Linked DNA regions of Yarrowia lipolytica. The protein of the gene in region 1 purifies or fractionates together with the protein of each later gene. This does not show direct contact. Links are inferred from orthologs where the notes say so. Each region holds a gene or a part of one and is shown on either strand. Other genes may lie near its edges.

Region 1 (3,246 bases):
AGTAGTTAATGTTCGTAGACTGTATTCCAAAAACAGCGTATAGCCGCAAGCAAGCTTGATGGTGAGAGCTTAGACGAATGGTTAAGGAAAACGAAAACGAAAATCGACTGAATGGTCACGTGGAAACAAGGGATTTACTACGTTGCTGTAGTCGGCAGGAGAAGACGACATCACCACACTTCTCTGTTTGTTCCTATTGTACGTGTAAGGCTACTGTACAAATACATGCTGCATCAAGGTGGGCTCTGGTGTGAGCAGGAATATCTATGTACTTGTACTTGTACTTGTACTTTGTAGGAAGCGACAGCTTTTGTGAAGCTCAAAGAAGCTCTACAGTATATCTGGTGAACGTCAACAGTTGTTTTTCTTGATGGTTTCATCTCCTCGCCGTAATTTTTCATACGACACCAAAATGAAGATCATATGGCAAACCCTTTGACATTGTATTGTAAAAGAACCTATAAACAACACCACAAAGGTTTCTTAAAGAAAACATTGCGGTCTTTGTCAACGATCTATATTATAAGTAGCAACAACCCAATCAGATCCCTCAGCTTTTTATTATCATTTTTCATTATAGTATGTACATTGTCACCCACTCTTCATCTAACCAAAACCACTCCACTCAATGCAATACACACTGTCCCCACCCTCGTCATTCTCTCCCCCAAGAACAAGACACTTCTTTACATTAGTTCCAAGACGCCCTCCTCCAACAATAACACTTTTGATGGGGAATTTCTCCTCATACTCCTTGCCAATAGCAATGTAATGGGAGTGGTATCTGACGGAGTCTCCGGGGTATGCCAAAAAATTGCCTCCAAACCGCAGGCCAGGTGACAAGAAATACCCTCGGGAATGCAAAAAGTTGAAGATATAATACTGAGCCGAAGTCACGTGCTCTAGCAGGTCGCTCAGCACATTCTCCTTGCTGAACATGTTGTATCCCTCCAGCGTCTCATTTGTAGTGGTAGCATCAGTGACGTATGATATGGCGTTATCAGTAGCAACCACAACCTCCTTGTCAATCTTCCCGCTCATTCCCTTCTTCTCAAGAGCCTGCCGACGTCGCTCAAGCATACCCTCTGTATACTCCTTGATCTGCAGTTGCTGGGCTGTATGGCGTTGTTTTTCGTAGTTTTCGATATCTTCAGGCGTTTGGGAAGTAAGGGCTGTCACATGACTTGCACTATCGTCCACAACCTCTGCAATTCCATTCTTCATCAGAAATATCACCTCTTCCTTGAACAGTTGCAGTGGCAGGCCACAGAAGACATTCTGTTGGGGGATTTGAGGTAGCGTACCGATTAACGTGCCTCCAATGAGATGCTCTTGCCGGAGAAACCGGATGTCCTCTACCTTAAACACCAGATACTTGTCGTTGATGCGTTTGATCTGGATCATGATGTGGTGAGGAAAAAATTAGGTGGACAGAAATATGCATCAAAATATGTACAACCATGAGCTTATTTTCGATAAGGCCGAAGTTTAATCGGTGGTGATGAAGGGCTTGGGAGGGGGTTGTGGAACAGTAAGGAGCGAGATGAGTAGACGTTTTTCGAGAACTTGTGGTACAATGTTATAACTTCTAAAATTCGACACAACATATATTTTTGGTGACTTTAGAAGGCTAAATAAATGGTCTATAGTGTGTTTCAGACACGCATTCTTTGTAACGGAAGCTACTTGTAGTTGTAGTGAAAATTCATGGAGAACATTGATGCTTTGGTACGATACAGTAGACTGTAAGTGGTTATCAATTTTTTACTGACTATACCGTTTCAAATTCTGTATGACGGATAAGAGACATCTGTGTGAGCTCAATCCTAAAAGGGACCAGGCAAGCCTGAGGATATGATGATTCTGTTGAAGGATCTAATATTTCAGTTTCAGCAAATTCATTAGGGTAGCTGAATACAGCTGAAGTATTTCATCCTCCTCACACCTCCTACAATAGGCCTCCGGTATGACCTGAACGCCTCGCAGTTCGCTACTCGTAGCTTCTATATCGACATCTCCCATTGAGACAACATGTCCCGCCAGTGTCACATAAACAAATTAAAAACATTGTTACACATCTAACAAAACAGACATGGTCACTTATTGTCCCACCTCATTGCTGCTCACGTGGTAGCTTCTCTCTGACTGAGCGAGCAGACTTTGAGTCCAGTAGCCAAAACACTGCCTTCATCTCCAGATCCTTACTACTCGTCTTTCTTCTTAAAGTACTGAGTCATCTCCTTAATCCACTTGGGCTCAATGACCACCAGCTCAGCCTCAGCAAGCACGTTCTGCTTCTTCTTCTCCCACAGATCACCTCCCTCAAACTTCTCGATAGATCCGTCAGCAATTACCTTTCGGCCCTGAATGTCCTTAGTCTCCACTCGCACCATGAGGTACTGGTTCTCTCGAACTGGTTGTCGGTAATTGATCTCCAGGGTGCCAGTCACTCCGTACTGCTGAGAGGGCAGGCTGGGGAAGGCCCCCAGACATACAAACTCATCCAGCAGGGTGCCCAGGAAACCACCATGCACGATTCCAGTGTGTCCGTTTAAATGGTCGCCGACGTGCAGAAATGCATACATGACACCGTTCTTTCCGTCATCACACCGCTTGTAGAACAGCAGTGGATCAACGGTCAGGTATCCAGGCTTCTTCAGAAACGACTCCAGGAATCCTCGAGAGTACTCCAGAGGAATCTTCTCACTCAAACGGGTCTCACGAAAACCTTTCTCCCGCAGCTCCTTGGCGAATTGACTGTTGTGAAGAAAGGTGCTCTCCTTGGAGTGAAAATGATCCTTCTCGGTAGCAACCGGATAAGTCAGCTCATGACGCCCCAGAGCACCGAAGTGGTACCCGGTCATGGCAGTAGCTCCAGCAACGAGCGAGAGTCCAAAGATCTTGGCCGTCCTTGCAAGCGTCGCCATTGTGTTTGGTGTGTTGTGTGTTAGGTGACAGTGATAGAAGAGAGGTCACTGTGGGAGATATCCGGGGAAGAATAGAGTTTATCCACAGGTGGGGTATTATGCCCTGAGTGACATTCAGGTGGCATGTACGCGTATATGGGGTTGGGGTGAGTAAGGAAATCAAGTTTCTAGTCTACTTAGAAAAGAATGCGCTTTTCAGAATTTACTCATCATCTGTATTGGCCAAGATATAGTACAGTATGGTCAGATACCCAATTGATGACGCTTGAACTCTATGAGGAAGGGCTGGAGAGTCTGTGTTTTGCTAATGGGCACACCT
Region 2 (3,521 bases), on another chromosome or scaffold:
AGTCCATACATATGTCAACGGTGACGATATACTGGAGGAAAAGAGATGATATGACGAAGGAACTGTTGCTTCTGGTTGAAACTAATGGTTACTTGTTCGATCTCCGTGGATTCCAATTCAGGATCTCTGGCTCCATCTTCTAAAGTACAGACTTGAAATTGGTGGCGCTTGTGGGTCTTTGCTGATTGGCGTCACGCCTGCGAGATTCAATGGGCAGTGACCAAGACCTTGGGTCTGTTCAACGGCATTGTTGCTGGTGGGGACAAGCACGGTTCTGGTGTGAATGTTGCTGGTGGAGTTTCTGGTGAAGAATGTTGCTGGTGAAGTTGCTGGTGAAGTTGCTGGTGAAGTTTCTGGTGAAGTTTCTGGTGAGGTTTCTGGTGAAGTTTCTGGTGAAGTTTCTGGTGAAGTTTCTGGTGAAGTTTCTGGTGAGGTTTCTGGTGAAGTTTCTGGTGAAGTCTCTGGTGAAGAACATTCTGAGAGTTCCGGCATATCCGTTCAAATCTCACTCTGTCACCCGCCACCGCCGCTAGTCCCGATTCCTCGAGGGAATCCACCGCCTATACACCACCTCTCGCACCTTGAACTGCTTCAACACCTCCACCAGCTTGGCATCATCGACAACGCCCTCGACCTTTGGCACATCCACAAAACAAAAGACAGTGGTCTTCTTGACTCCGCCAATGACTCGACACAGGTTCGACTGCCACCAAAAGTCGGGCATGGGCTCGTCCTTAGGCATCACCTTGATGCAGAACTCGGCATGGGTGAACGGAGGACCCTTCTTGTACAGCAGAAAGTCGGCTCCAAACTTGATGCCCGACCGAACGCACCAACCTAGCGATCGGTAGTGGTGGTAGACGGCGTAATAGGTCAGAAACCGAGGGTCCTTGCGGGTGAACTCGTCAACCATGGCCTTCACATCCATGTCGCCGACCTTGAGTCCAAACGCCATGTGAAGAAACAGCGCCTCCACGTCCATGAGCTGTAGAAACTCGATATCCACGAGGTTGCCCAGCGAATCCACCACCTCGTCGTCTTCCGTTCGTTTCTCCATTTCGTAAGACTTGGCGAGAAACGCGTCCCGATCAAACTCCGGACGAACAGGCTTGTCGTCTTCATTCTTGTCAGCCACCGCCAGACCCCGATCAATGTCCTGGCGTCTCTTGAGCTCCTCCTCCTCGGCCTTGGCTCGCTCGGCTTTGAAATGCTGCCGCTGCTCTCGTCGGAACTGAGTCACCTCTTCAGGGGCATACACCCCCTCCTCCACATGGAGACCCAGACGTCTCTTGGTTCGAATGTCCCACGAGGGCTCGGACCGAGACAAGATGCCCTTGCCAAAGAAGCCCATCTTCCACAGACCCTCGCGAGCGTCTCCAACGGCCCGAACTACACCATCAACATACTCGGCGGTATACTCTGGGCTTGTATTGCCGGCAAAGATCCATCTACAGAGAAAATACAACACCGAGATGGGATTGTGTATCACCGGTGGCACGACATCCACCACATACGGGTATGGATGGGGGTATAACGCGTTCAAGTTTTGTTTTTTCATTACACAAATTGGCGCTGTGCGAGCTCAACGACGGCGGACTTTGGTTAGTAAGGCGGAAAAAAAGGCAACAAGGGCAGAATCACAAAAATCAGATACCGTTGTAGTCTATAAGAAATCACTCTCAGGAGTTCAAGAAAGGTTTTCGATATCATCATGTCAAGAGGAAGAGCATTGTGCGCGCGACTGTGTGCTGTGCGCTGTGCGCTGTGCGCTCTCCCTGTTTGTGTCGGTTGGTACTCACCAATGGGCTCTGTGGTTATGACGACAAGGGGTGGATTTTTTCTGCTTTATAACTACCCACCGCGGTTACCCGGGGGTTGGGAGTTCTGAAATATGTGTGTAAGACTGGTGTTTACTATGGGGTAGGGAGGGGGTGTATAGGGCACGATAGGGTGGGCATTTTTGGAATTTTGAAATTGGAGACGGTAGCAAACGGCAAGGAGAACTTGGGTTTCAAAAATCACGTCTTGAGCTTCACAGGATCATGTTTTTCAGATGGGGTGTTAGTTGGCACTCTATAGTCTTAGCTCATAACCTATAACAAGTATGTATGATTGACATACAAGACGCCTGGAGCTCTCGAACGGGCCAAAAAAGAAGCCGACAAAAAGATAGGTCGTACCCGGACTCGAACCGGGGTTACTGGAAGTTAGCTGAGCTTTCGTCAGAATCCAAGGTGATAACCACTACACTATACAACCGAAAGTTGGGGCAAGGTTCGATAGGGGAGTTTTTGAGAAGGAAGGGAGAAAATTAAATCATATTTAGAATAAAAAAATCATAAAAAAGAATAAAAAAACATCCCATTTTAGGGAAGATTAGGAGGCGAAGGAGGAATACCGGAGTTTCAGCTTGATTTTTGACGGCGAGTAGTGCTAGATAAGACTTTATCTGGTCAGATTTGAACGTCTCTGATGTGTATTGATATGGGTCCATGGACTTGAATTAATTACTTGAGCATCAGTAAATAGACTCAATTGAGATGTGTCAGTCAAGTAAAGGCAACAAAAGTGTTTTCTAGTAATATGTATCTAGAATGATATTATTTTGTATAAAACTACAATTAATTTCTTAAATAAGTATATAGAGTGGATTTAGAGAGTTTTAACCTGATTATTAATGTATTAAACTACTAAAAAGAGTACTTTTACAAGTACGTATTCGGATTTTTTCAATTTCTTAACTAAACTTAAGTAGTATATTGATATCTTCAACTCGCCTAATAAACAACTCATACAAAGTCTTGAAGTTTCTGGGAAGTCATAATGATTCCAAAAATCTATTGGGACGTTATATAACCCCTCAACCTCCCGTTATAGACATTCTAATGCAACCCTGTTGGTCTAAATATGCCTGTATGTCGGCATCTAACCCCGAAGGCACCGATGGGATCTTGGGAGCCCGCTAATAGTGGTAATATTGCTCAATTGTCGCCACAAACCAGTTCAATTGACTCCAAATAGCCTGTGTGATTTGATTTCAGGTCGAAAAACACAAGATAGTTACCAGAATATCGAAGTAGCGAGCGCCTTCCAAGTTCTCCAATATGGCGAGCAACGAAACTTGACACGAGGAGCCCGGGCTCTGATACAGCTAGTTGGTCTATCAAAACACATGCTTGAGAACATGTGTGGGCAGCGCTGAAGAAGCTGGAGTCCTTGAACCTGACAGAGGAGATCCATACTCGGATCAGACGAGCGATACTTGGATCAGACAGACGATAGTCGGGTCAGACGGACGAGATCCATACTGGAATCCAACAAGAGAAAGCCACAATCCCAGAGTCCACTTGGGCAGCTTCTTGAAGTGTAGTCTTACTGGGCTGATAGCACCGACTCCAGATTATGGCAACGAATCCAGGTTGAAACCAGATTCAGAAAGCGATATTCAGACTAAGAGATTCTAGTCAAGAAACTCCGAGAAGATGAAAACTGATGGAGACAATCCGCGGTCTGTTTGGAAT

Evidence for each region. The genes of interacting proteins can lie anywhere in the genome.
Region 2: the proteins of YALI1_E33858g (region 1) and YALI1_B09333g purify together in Saccharomyces cerevisiae (affinity purification with western blotting; 4 studies listed by BioGRID, with this or other methods). This does not show direct contact. The link is inferred for Yarrowia lipolytica from reciprocal best matches to the Saccharomyces cerevisiae genes SEN34 and SEN2.

Annotation. Positions count from the first base shown.
Region 1 is NC_090774.1:3,383,956-3,387,201, reverse strand, and holds YALI1_E33858g (uncharacterized protein), read right to left. Parts: upstream 1,405-3,246; coding exon 607-1,404; downstream 1-606. Other genes in the region: YALI1_E33843g (uncharacterized protein), read right to left, coding at 2,205-2,927. UniProt on the Saccharomyces cerevisiae protein: Constitutes one of the two catalytic subunit of the tRNA-splicing endonuclease complex, a complex responsible for identification and cleavage of the splice sites in pre-tRNA. It cleaves pre-tRNA at the 5'- and 3'-splice sites to release the intron.
Region 2 is NC_090771.1:931,841-935,361, forward strand, and holds YALI1_B09333g (uncharacterized protein), read right to left. Parts: upstream 1,559-3,521; coding exon 530-1,558; downstream 1-529. Other genes in the region: YALI1_B09316g (uncharacterized protein), read right to left, coding at 1-7; YALI1_B09320g (uncharacterized protein), read right to left, coding at 15-181, 244-475. UniProt on the Saccharomyces cerevisiae protein: Constitutes one of the two catalytic subunit of the tRNA-splicing endonuclease complex, a complex responsible for identification and cleavage of the splice sites in pre-tRNA. It cleaves pre-tRNA at the 5'- and 3'-splice sites to release the intron.